3 separate regions of the Mus musculus genome follow, and regions 2 and 3 are each reported to be linked to region 1. Evidence: microRNA targets listed by miRTarBase, many of them from high-throughput screens and not tested one by one. Region 1 holds a microRNA gene; each other region holds the end of a gene's coding sequence.
Evidence for each region. Region 1 holds the annotated microRNA mmu-miR-742-3p (GAAAGCCACCAUGCUGGGUAAA, at 2,640-2,661, opposite strand). A microRNA usually pairs through its seed, bases 2 to 8, with sites in the 3' UTR of a target mRNA and lowers its output. Matches are read on the target gene's strand: a 7mer-m8 pairs with bases 2 to 8, a 7mer-A1 pairs with bases 2 to 7 and ends in A, and an 8mer does both.

Region 1 (4,263 bases):
TTTGAGGCATGTGTACAACCTTAAGCACCTTTTAAGTCTAAAAAAGTGGGGCTTTAAATGAGAAATGATGAAAATGGTAGCAATCTCAAGGATGCCTTTGAAGACGAAGTATAAGGTCCAGGGTATACAAAGTAAGGAGCTTGTTGAACATTACTCACTCTGAGAGACCATGTGTACACGCACTTAAGTCTCACTGACATTAATGTGTATAGGGATTGACACTAAAAAGCTTTCAGGAGAAATAGTACTCAGCAGAGAAGAGCCCACCAACTGCTTTTCCATGGTCAGCACTGAAATAACATACATAAAACTTTCAAAATATGGACTAAGCAGGGCATGAATGAGAGAGAGAACAAAGGGGTTAGTTGATTAGAGTGGCTGAAGGGAAGAAACGAAAGGGGAGAATTATAAAATATTTTAATTTAAAAAGCACTTAAAAATTAAAATGAAACTAAACTTATTTTCCATAGTGCTATGTCCCTAATTTTAAATATTTTCACCTATGAGAAATAGGAATTAGATGAAAGGTTCCCCCTATATCTTCACCTAAACAATGTCCTGTGAAGGTAGCTACAATCGATCTTAGAATCAGAAAATACTCTTGCATGTGCATCTATGTTCTTACATTTACAATGACAGTACTTTATGAGTATCCTTATATTGAGAGAGATACCCCAAACTGTTTAAACTGTTTAAACCCTTTTCTTAAAGAGACTTCCTCCACTGCCAGAGATCTTGAATAGCCTCCTGGTCAGTCATCCGGAAACAATTCTTCACATAATTAATGAACTTGGCTTCCACTTTGGGAAGAGAACCGCCTTTTTCTATACTTGCTTGCATTTTTGCCTTAATGTCTTCTACAGAACTAGGTCCTTTTGGTGTTTTAGGAGTCTTTTCCTGTTTTTTGAAGGACTCTTGACCCTTTGATCTCGGTGTTGACGGTTTTAAGTCTTTTCCATTTTGGTTTGATTTTTGTGCATTTTTGGCTGGGGTATCTCGTACAGATTTCTTCACTGGGACCTTTTCTTCAGTTTCCTCTTCATCAAAATCATCATCATCATCATCCTCATCATCCTCATCATCGTCCTCATCATCTTCATCAAGTTTTACTTTTTTCTGTATCCTTATATTGAGAGAGGTTAGTAGAAAGTGACTGGTATCTGTCCTATATCACAATGCACACACCAAAATGAATGGAGACATATCATCTCATCTGACTCTTGCATTACCAAGAAGTTTCAGGAGTCCTTAACTCAAGTTCTTAGGGAATATATATACTCTCCTTCACTTTCTATCTCTACCACTTCTGGATCAGAGAGATAAAAGTCCTTTAACTTTATTTAATTACTGGGAAGGAAATTATTTTTTTTTTCTTTAGATTATCTTCTTTCTTTACATTCTCTATTTTGAAAGTACCCATGAGGTGAAACATGGATAGTCTACACTATGTTGAAAAAGTAAGGATATGGGGCAACAAAGACTCAAACCGTTTCTGTGTTTAGTCTTTCATTAACACAGTGTACCTCATTTTCTTTTTATGAAAGCATAATTCTTAATTTTAGCACCTTGTTCTCCTTTTCCTTACCTAACATAGATGCTTGAATGCTGTCCCATGAAAGTGATTAAAAAGATACACACAATTGTATAGTAAGGCTTTGTGATCATCCTGAAAACCATTATCAGTGATCTTACATGGAAAGCACTAATACTACCTAGAACCTATCAAAAATAACTGAATTAAAGAGCAGTACTTTACCTGGAAGATTTGTCGGTAGTCCAACTGTCTAACAGCTTCTTGAGTGAGATATAACATAAAGCATGAAGATATGGAGGTATCATCCATGTAGGCTAATCATCCCAAGCAGTTTTCATCACTTCACCAATTACAGCATGACATATTAACATTGATTTATTTATTTTCAACTGTTTGGGAATACAAAATATACTTTGTCACCTTGCATGATAAAGGAAGACCTCTTGACCTATAGCCAGATAGCCAGTGTGACTTTAAGATTAATCAGTGATATACTTTGCAAATGACTTTTAAAAACTAGGTAATGAAAATCTTCTAAAAGAATCAGAATATTGGGAGCATAGGATGAGAATACAACACAATTGTACCTGTATATCGCTGTTCAATTACTGGAGAAAGTTACAGAATACAGAAGATAGGAACTTGGTCTATTTAAATTCAAATCACTGATACCATCATAATTTCAGTGACTTGAATTTAAATCTGTTTGGTTCTTTTTCACTTAGGGCCATATTTATAAAGGAAGACTCTAATTACTTGTAGCTTTTCAGTCCACTTTCGTGCACTCATCATCTAAGTTGTCACAAGATATTTGAATTGATATTCAGTTGGGCCTGAAATCATTGATTGGTTTTATTTCTGATATTTATATTCATGATCCCTATTGAGACTGGCATGCAATTTTCTGTTCTTATAATTTGTATAATTTGGGTTCTGTGCAAGCTAGAATAATGCTAACTTCCACAACATTTAAACTTAAAAAAAAAATGAGAGCATAGTTTCTTCAGGTACAAGGAAGCAGATTCTGGAGCCATAATAAGGATGTATAGTTTCTTCATCTTTACTACCCAAGGCCACAACAAATGAAGAACATGATGAGCTTTACTTTACCCAGCATGGTGGCTTTCACCTACACTTCACGTGATTAGCAACCATGTGAGTAGAGCACTGCCCAGGTACTCTAGAACCAGCCCATCTGAAGTCTTTATTTCAACATGTGAAATAAAATTGAATAGAACATTGAAGTAAGTCGTCAACAATAATTACTTTTTTTTTTTAACCACACATTCTTCTTCGAAGCTGTCTTCTCATGTTCCACCATTAGGATTTTTCTTAGTATACTTCTAAAGTTCTACAACCGTTCTCTTCTCTATGGTTATAGATCTGAAGATATCATGAAGATGGATGAAGTATAATCCAGAATCAGTACATTTATCTTCTCTATGAAGGCATAATATGACCATATGGCTACCATCCCTGCGTTTGTTGAGCCTTACAATACTGAGAGCTGTTGCAGTTACTTATAGAATAAAGTAACTGCTACTTCTCTCAGCATTATAGTGCACACGAATTATTATTATTATCAGCTGACTTCAAAAACAACTTTCATGATTCTTCTCAGTATGACATGAATGCAATGTTATTTCTTTACACATAATTCCTCAGGAAGTATAATCATATTTTCCATTATCTTCCATCTCCATTTCAAGGTATCAGACTTGCTTCTTTCTTGATACTCCTCGAATCTGTATGAATTCAAGAGGTTAAGAATTAACAAGTCATAGCCGGGCGTGAATCCCATCACTCGGAAGGCAGAGGCAGGCGGATTTCTGAGTTCGTTTAAGGCCAGCCTGGTCAACAGAGAAACCCTGTCTCAAAAAAACAAAACAAAACAAAACAAAAATAGAATTAACAAGACAAATATTCTTATAAATATATAGGTCAGGTGACACCAAAGAATAACAAATGAACAAGGCAAGACCTCAAGATACCTGCAATGATTTAGTCATCAGCATCAAGAGAATATATCAAATGAAGGCTTCAGTATGTATTAATCTGTACTTTGAGATAGCATAGACTGATCCTTTGTACTTCATCTCAACAACAACAATTTCATCCAACAGCTTTTATCACAATCTTCACAATTAAACACACCCCCACTAAACTGTGTCTGTAAATGTTTGATTTCACACTTAAGCTGATGATATTGAAAATCCAATTGATTTTGCATGTACATTTCACATAAAAACCTGTCACTACCCTAACTTAAAGAGAAATGATGATCACAACAAAACATATTCTTTTATCAAACTTAATTATAATTATGACCAAAGTGAATATGAAATTGTAAAGGATTAATAAAAATATAATTTAAAAAATGTGGATTTTAGGTCAAAAGTTTTATGGGTGGGTTCGTGTCCTTATCTTTCACAGGAGGTCCTGCCTGTTTATAGGAGGTGGCCTCTTCAGGTTCCATGTCCACATTGTTAGGCATCTCAGCTAAGGTCACACACAATGGCTCCTGGGAGCCTTCCCTATCCTAGGTCTCAGGGTCTGCTTAGAGATTACCTCCACCCGTAAGTCCCCTGCAAGATAGAGATTTCCATTCATTCTCCTGGGCCTATGGGCCTCTTTCTTTTCCCTTCCCACACCTGATCCTGCAAACATATCCCCCTCACATACCCACATTGCTCCCTCTGCCTCCCATGACAGTTCTGTTACCCTTTTTA
Region 2 (4,263 bases), not on the chromosome of region 1:
TTCTATACACTTAATATGTTACACTTTTATATAACACTGTAATAAACATTAGTCCTTTAAAACAAAAACATTACATAAAGACAAAAAAAAAAGCCAACTCCTTCCCCACCCCACCCCCCAAAAACCCAAAAAGCAAAACCCAGCAGGCCATCCAGACAATCTTCTTGTCAACTCTCCAGGCTACTTGGTCTGTCCGATGATGTCAGATATACATTCTTCACCACCATGACAATCACACTAGATGCTAATAAAGCACATGAAGTTAAAAATAAAACTCTTAAGAAGGACAGTACTACCTGAAACTTCTAGGGGAGTTTGCAGCACAGGTGTTGTTTAAGGCCACCCCTTCCTGATACAGTCTAATATTATATCAGCTCCATCTCACACCCCAACATTTAGAAAACTAAGTCCTCGTTTTCTTTTAAGGAATATGTGGACTGTTTGACCCAATACAAAATGCTAGTTCTGAACACCTAAAGCAGCTCCCTCTTTGGGATACACTTTACCAAGGCCGCTACTCCATCCTGGAGAACATGGGCTTGGCAGGTCTCCCAGGAAGCTAGATCAAAGATGGCATCTCTCTAGGACAAGACCAAAGGGTGCCTCAGTTTACTAAGTGACTGTACTCACCTATCCCCCGGGCTTCTCAGTGCTAAATAAGACAATAATAAAGTGTCATTTAGTGCAGTTGTCACTGTGCAGCCCTACTACCCCAGGCCACTGCTGTCAGGAAAAACATTCCAACCCCTTTGACCTTTGTGGCTTTTTTTTTTTTTTTTTTTGGTTCTAGACACTGAACCCAAGGCCATGTGCAGGCTAAGCACATTCTACCCTGAGTGCTCCAACCTGTTTGACAGCTCAAGCAAAAATACAGAAAAGCATCCTGGGAGCTGCCAGGTGTTCAGTTTCCCATTCTCCTGCTCTGGCTGTAACAGCATTGCAGCCTTTCCTTGGTTTTCTTGAGCATTAGTGTTAACATGGCTGCCTAGCCCTGTCCCTTAAACTTGACAGAGTCAGAAGTGACTCTCTTTGGTCTGGCAACAACTAGGATAGTCCTCTTCCTGAGAACACTGAAAGATTGCTCAGTCAAGAAGCCAGTCATCTGGGCCTCAGATACAGCTCTTGGGCTCAGACTCTGCCGGCATTTTTTCTGATTGCTCTGCAGAAAGGCCTGTCACTCCATTCTGAGGCCAGACTTTGAGCTCCCGAGAAGCAGCCGGGTGTCAGTGCTGGGCTGGAGCTGTGGCAACTGTTTTGAAGGATGGCACTCTTCATGCCACCCTTCTTCCTCACTCAGCCCAGAGGTAAATCTTCAAAACTTTGGCCCTGTCAAGCCCTGTACTACCCAAGTGCCACCACACTTCTCTGACCGCCTAGTGTCTTCCCAAGTGATATACAATACAGTACATTTCGTGGCATTTTATCGCTGAAATAATAGTAGATGCCAAAAACCACAGAATCAAAAAATAGCTTACAATGTTATGAAGTACAACACACACAAATTAGACATATGTGTTCACATACTCAGCCCGCTGAGCATTGAAATACCAACACCAAATACCCCCAATGTGGCCTTTGGCTTGCCCGGATACTCTCAGGACTATCGTGGGCCTTGCTCGGCTACTCTAATGAATGAACTATACAACTCCTCCTCCTTTCCCTAAGGCATTAATCTCTCTGCTCCTCCCACTGAGCAGAAAATGATGAAAACTGGCTTTTTAAAATTAAAAGAAGGAACCTGTAATCTGACAGGAGACGAAAAAGAGACTCTGAATGAGGGAACAAAACTCTAACCTCCACTTAGGAGTCTGAGTGTGGGCTAAGTGGTCCAAAGAATGTTAGGAATATAGTTCCATACTGGAGCTACCGCCTCTTTATTACAGCTAGACTCAAGAGCAGGGTCAGCAGTCTTCTAACTACACAAGATCTCAGGTTTCACGCACCACAGACCTAACAAGCTGAGACGACTCATTTCTTCCCTCCTGACTCCTTGGCTTCCTGTACGTCCTACTGTCTCCAGAGAGCAACATGTTAACCCTCAGAGTAGAGTAACTAAGTATAGTTGAGTAGGTGTTAAAATTCTAAAAGCTAGACTAAGCATTCTGCCAAAATGAACCAGAGCCAAGGAACCCAAAGACAATGGCCCGCCACTTGTCCATTCCAGTTTGCATGTAGAAAGCATTACCTGGCGTTTCTGAAGAGCTGTGAGTGTGTAGACCACCATGCTCAACTGCACAATTATCAGAGTTCATGGTGCAGAGTGTTCAAAGTGAACTTGGAAAGCTATATGGAGCTGGAGCATAGCCCATGGGAGAGTGCTTACCAGCAATATCTGAGCAGTGGGATTGATCCCTAGCACGGAAGAAGAAAGGAGCGAGTTATATAGTTAGAAGCTATGCATGGTAGCATATGGATGACTTAAGGCTAGCCTGGGCTACATCCCATTAAAAACAACAAAATTATAGCCTATTTCTGACTAGATGCTCAAGCCCAAGTACCATGTTATCTGGTTTATTCCCTCCTTTCTTTTTTGAGGAAAAAGAAGGGTAGAGGGTGGGGAAAGACACAAGAATCAAACAGATTCTGTTCTGGGTTAGCTCTGCCCCACAGAAACCAGGGCTCCCTGGCCCTGGAAATGTAAACACACTGGGTTGTGAGGACAGACAGCTTCATGTCTAACTGCCTCCTGGGTCTTTGACTGTAACAACCTGAGATCCTGGCTATAAAGACCAAGAACCAGACAACCTCAGGTCTATCTGGCTAGGTTGGTTTGGTTTTTGCCTTTATGACCATACAATCTGGAACTAAGGTCATGTTTCTAAGTGGTCTCTACCGCTGGACTGATGCCCTGCACTGCAAGCCTGTCTTGTTTTAGTGACACACAGCGAGCAGACAGTGGTAACAGTTGTCTCCTTTTCAGTTCTGAGGCCAGAACATCACATTCTTCAGCTTTTAAACATCTGAGACAGTCTTTTGCCAAAGAGGCAGTGTAAGGTAGTGTGAACACTAAACAGCCACTGACTTCTTCACTGCCCAGGAGCCATCCCTACCCAGGAAGGCTTCGAGTTGCCACCAAGCACCAGTTCCCTTGGGAGCCTCCTTAATGAACAAATGACAAATTCTCCCCATGGCCAAAAGGTGAGAGGGAAGGAAGGAACAGAGTGGAAGAGAAAGGGTTTTGTCTTCAAGTAGAATCGTCTAGTCCTCTGTTTGGTTGTTCAGAGCTGCACTTGCAGAGCCGGTCCATAATGCTTCGGAGCATAGGCTGCACGATGCCCAAGAGGGGCCTCTTCAAGGGGTCACCATCCCAACACGCCTCCATCAACTGCCAGCACTCCTCATCAAACACAGGAAGACGCTCTGGACGGGTCCCTAGAGAAAAGAGCAAGGAAGTGAAGCCAGTCTGGGAGAGCAAAGGGTTTGGGTTTCCACAGCAGACACCTCAGCTGTAATGCAACAGGAATGGTGGAAACTGGTATAATGCTGCCAGTTAGCAAAGGTCTGGTTTATAGTGTCCCTTCAGCATTATATGATGGTCTGTCTGATGTGGCCATGCTGTGGAGTGGCCAGAAGATGAGGGTGCCCTGCTGTGGTATCCAGGCTGTCTGCTCTCAGAGAGTTCAAGCCAAGTGGCTTGGTGAGTCTTACCTCTGCGCACATTATTCCAGAGATGGTCTTTGCTAGCACACCTCTCAAATGCCTCAGGGAGCTTGATAGAGCCGGAGCAGATATACCAAAAAAGGATCCCAAAAGCATAGACGTCCACAGAGTTATCATACTTTCCTACAGTAAAGACAGACGAGCGATAGTGAGCCACCATCTTGTGTCTATGGTTCCTTACACAATTTTGAAAAGCTTTTAATGTCTACTGTTCTTCACAACTTGCCTGGAAGGCAGGGCACACCTGTAGTGCCCATTTTATAATATGGAAAGCTAGATGCTAAGACAGCCAAGACAAAAATTTGTCAAAACAGAAGGAAAATCAGGCCATTCATTTTATTGGGACAGTCTGCAAGATCAGTTCTATAAGGGGCCATATTAGAGAACTATGGGTGGGACTCAGAAAATAAAAATTATAAAGACTGGCAGGTGTGGTGGTGGACACCTGTAATCCCAGCACTCAAAAGACTGAGGCAGAAGTATAGTTTAAGGCCAGTCTAGGATACACAGGAAGATCCTATCTCTCATACAAAGATCTTAAAGGCAGAGAAGAGTCTAGAGTTGGTGGGTAGCAGAAGGTCGTAGCAGGGGTACCACAGCAAT
Region 3 (4,263 bases), not on the chromosome of region 1:
TCTTGAAAAACAAAACAGCAGGCGGGGAGTGGTGGCGAATGCCTTTAATCCCAGCATTTGGAAGGCAGAGACAGGTGGATTTCTGAGTTTGAGGCCAGCCTGGTCTACAAAGTGAGTTCCAGGACAGCCCTAAAAAAAAAAAAGAAAGAAAGAAAGAAAGAAAGAAAGAAAGAAAGAAAGAAAGGAAGGAAGGAAGGAAGGAAGGAAGGAAGGAAGGAAGGAAGAAAGAAAGAAAGAAAGAAAGAAAGAAAGAAAGAAAGAAAGAAAGAAAGAAAGAAAGAAAAGACCAACAAAACCAAAGGGGAAGGGTGTTGTGTCAATATTTTATGAGGAGCTGTGACTATACTGAGCAAATTCTTCCCTAGCTCTAAATACCACTGTATAAATTTGTTAATGTGTTTATGTGTAAATGCACAGAGATATAATCCTAATTATTAATGGTTTCTATAATAAGAGACTATTATCCTTCTGGTTAGTTTCTGGTACAGAATATAAGACCCACCAACAAAGGAAGTCATTATAAGCATTGTGGGAGGGGCGTGTCTGGCCCAGTGGTTTCTGCTAGCTACACTGATGTGTTGCTATAAATGATATGATTTTCAGTGTTCATGATTTCAAAATATCGCATAATTACCATTCAGCACATTGGGGTGGGAGATGCTTTTGTATTAATTCATTATCACTTGACTCAGGTCATGAATTTATAATAAGCCACAGCTTTTTGTTTCTTTTCAAAACAAGAAAAATATCAAGTATGGAAGGTTATAAAATATAATACTAGGTGTGAGAATTAGGTTTTTACGTTCCAAAAAAAAAAAAAAAGTCAGGATGGTCACTTTCATCACTCCAAGAGTAACAGCCATAGGTAAAATACTATCTCTAATGCTTGTGAATTGCTAGAAAAATCTGAACAGTAAAGAACTTTTCAACAGAAACTATAGCATTGATGGGTGCATTGGCACATTCAGTACTCAGGAGGCTAACACAGGAAGATCAGGAGTTCTAGGATAGCCTAAGCTACCTCACCAGACTTAAAAAGAAAGGAAGAGAGAAAAGAAATGAGGGAGGGATGAAGGAAAAATGAAAAGAACTAAATTATATACTCAGTTTTGTGCCTGGTTAAAACAAAACAAAACAAAACAAAACAAAACAAACAAAGAAACAGGCTGAATATAAATTCAACAACCACTAAACCTTTGTGGAATGAGGTAGGGTTAAAATCCAAAGACCAGAAGCATAATCAGCTCAATGCCCAGATGACCTCTCATTTCCTATGGTACAATGTTAACTTTACTGCTACTATAAGGAACAGAATTCAGAATAAAACCAATTCTAAGAAGGAATTATCTTTGATGCAATATTCTAGGAGGATAGTATCCATTTACACTCAGGGTATAGTCAGAAATGACACATGAAATAAAAGTAGCTTGGATCATGCATATATTTAATAGTAAAACGGTCATTAACAATAAAAATTAGAAAATTTGGTGAGACCTCAGTGCTGTGAAAGAAAATGAGACAAGTAAAAAAGACAGCAAGTGTCCCAGGAGGTGATGCCAGGAGTCAGCAGAGGCAAACTGGGCTGACAGTTACAGAGTCTACGGAACGGGTAAAAACGTCCCTATGTATCTGAGTCTTGGAAGCAGGCATTCTTACTGTAGACTGCACAGAATGGAGGCAGTTACAGTGAGGCAGGACAGAAGAGCAATGAGAAATCAGGATAAGGAGATGGGGAAACCAGGATACAATTACATAGAGATGACTCTAAGGCCTTTTGTTTCTTCTAAACTCTTAAGTTTTAAAGCATGTCACTTAATTCCAGATGGTGAGTTGCAGAGTACAGTAAGGGAACGGTGGGATGGACTGGGATGACAGGTGCCTGCTCTCAGAGAGCTTACAGCCTATGTGAGACAGATGCTTCCCCCTCACCCACCCTGGGTTCACTACAAAACATTTATAACGTGAAACACATACAAATAAATATACATATGGATAACGTAGGAATGCTAAGAAGTACTGTGTTAACAACTTCGTAGGGCTCCCTAGGTCAGTCAGTGAGGGTTTCCTAAAGGAAAAGAGTGTCAGTATGATGGTAGTGGAGGGTCAGAGGGTAGAGTTTGTGCAAAGGTACAGAAGTTGGGATAAATATGTCATTTCAGTAACCAATTAGCTTGATTAGAGGAAATATCTAACAGAGCTGGTTAGAGAGAATAAACAGCCACCTGGGAGTCTGAAGCCTCAGGATCCCAAGTTCAAAGCCAGCCTCAGCAACCTGTCTGTAAACAAAAAGTGTAAGTAAGAGAAGGCTCCTGAGGGCACAGCTCAGGTTCAGCACTTCCTAAGCATGTTTAAGAACCTAGCTTAATCTCCAGGGCATGTGCACGGGCTCGCATGTGTGCCTGTGTGTGTGTGTGTGTGTGTGTGTGTGTGTGTAACAGTAGAGAGAGCAATTCGGTAAAAGAAAATGTAATGCTAGAACTGGTCCTTTAAGCAAAATGAACAACTTATGTTTTCTTAGGTAAGGGTGTGTGGCGACAGGTCCGGTACCCACTCCACTGCTTTCTACGTTCTGTAGTTAAGGAAAAGAACTAGCAATGAAAAAGGCCAGCAAGCCTTGCCTAAGCATGGCACTCTAGAGATGTGGGGCCCATGTGCGGGGATCCTAAGGAATGATGCTCAAGGTTGTACACACATAATAAATAAAAAGGAGCTGGCAACGAGACAGTGCAGAGGCACTCAGCTTCTATAGGAACTCTTATCATATGACACACAGGTTTCCAAGGCAAGGAAATACACGCAATGAAATCACTATGTATAGATCTATCACCCAAAGGCTACTCAGACCCTTAATTCTAAATGTTATATCAGAATATCCTTCACCTTAGCAACTAAAAATTGGGTGAGGAACAGACACATGTATTTATTCCTTTCTCTCTTTTCTTTTTGGCTTTTTTAGACAGATGGCCTAGGGAAACTTATGTAGCCCAGACTGACTCCAAAACTCCTGGCAATCCTTTTGCCAAAAGTCCTGAGTGCTGAAATTATGGGTATGTGCCATAACACCTAGCAAATAGATGTTGACAGCAAGTTGTTTGCCTTTTAGCTACTGTGACAATCAACTTTGATTCTAACATTTTAGAAACTAGAGGGTGAAAGAGCCATAATCTACGCGGAATGCTCATGTCCCTAAAGGAGGACAGGTCGGAAAGGGCCCAATTTTCTCCTCATGTTTTAAGTGGAAGGGTGAAACATCGCACACTGAAAAGAGGCTGCTCTCAGCCTAAGCAACGAGGATCTCCTTCGTGGCGCTGGCTGACCTGAAGCTGCTCCCCGAGAGGAAAGAGAAAGCGCTCACTCAGGCCCGGTGTTCAGCAGCAGCCAGAGTCAGGCCCTATGTCAGAAACGTTCTGCTGAGGGGAGCACGGTCCTACTGAGGAGGTAATTGACTGCTGGGGCCCAATCTTGATGCCATTTGCCTGTAAAGGAGAAAGGCAGCAATTCCTGCATCAGAGCTGAAGAGAATTCGAAGGAAGGACAGAGATACAGGAGAACCCTTTAGTTAAATTCTAAGAATTGTGTCCTCTAGACAAACTGTTGAAAGAGTGAGATGACTGGTTATGAGGAGAGCCAGTTGGTGAGGGTGGAGTTGGCTTGTTTCAAGATGCACACAGATTTCATAGCTGTCTACAGAATTCAGGTGTGACGGAGGGGGCGCTCAGCAGGGGAAATACTTGCCATATAAGCATGACGACCACAATTAGATCCCTAGAAACCAGACAGAAGCCAGACGGGCATAGCAGCTCACCTACAATCCCAGTCCTTAGAAGCAAAGATACAGGGAGTCCCCAGAGCAAACCTGCCTCAGTGTGTAAGGTGAACAGCAATGAAAAGACACCTGTTGCCTCCAGATGAACACCCACATTTTTCCCAACACATATGTAAACATGCATATATATACATGCTCATCACATACAATATACATAAGAAAAAAATTCTTTTTTTAAAAGAGTAAGCAAAGCAAAAGAGTAGAAGTGGCAAACAAATTAGCATATGATTCTTTGTTTTGTCTCAGAATTTTCCCTCCTAAGAAATGAAAAATCCTCTCTCTCTCTCCAATAGTAAAAAACTGAGGTCAAGGAGAAAAACGCTCATATTATGTACGTCTGTAAATCACTGGCATATCTCTCTCAACAATATGTATGGGGTTCAGACTGAGAGTAAACAGAATGTAATGTGGGGTCTTAGATACCTGCACCTAAAAAC

Region 2: the mRNA of Dstyk is a reported target of mmu-miR-742-3p. Seed matches in the 3' UTR shown: 7mer-m8 at 90-96.
Region 3: miRTarBase lists Rab2b as a target of mmu-miR-742-3p. Seed matches in the 3' UTR shown: 7mer-m8 at 2,255-2,261.

What each region holds. Positions count from the first base shown.
Region 1 is chrX:66,777,737-66,781,999 of GRCm38, forward strand. Mir742 (microRNA 742) reads right to left here and starts at 2,701; the gene lies at 2,637-2,701. Mir883a (microRNA 883a) reads right to left here and starts at 3,097; the gene lies at 3,022-3,097. It also overlaps the pseudogene Gm14681.
Region 2 is chr1:132,462,433-132,466,695 of GRCm38, reverse strand. Dstyk (dual serine/threonine and tyrosine protein kinase) reads right to left here. Exons shown (of 13, transcript NM_172516.4): 12 at 3,649-3,783; 13 at 1-3,372. The coding sequence ends at 3,185. It overlaps 6030442K20Rik (RIKEN cDNA 6030442K20 gene), which reads left to right. Exons shown (of 2, transcript NR_165177.1): 2 at 1-68. Among named protein-coding and RNA genes, the nearest start is that of 6030442K20Rik, 12 kb to the left of the region's middle.
Region 3 is chr14:52,260,342-52,264,604 of GRCm38, forward strand. It overlaps Rab2b (RAB2B, member RAS oncogene family), which reads right to left. Exons shown (of 8, transcript NM_172601.3): 8 at 1,418-3,476. The coding sequence ends at 3,369. Among named protein-coding and RNA genes, the nearest start is that of Chd8, 4.7 kb to the left of the region's middle.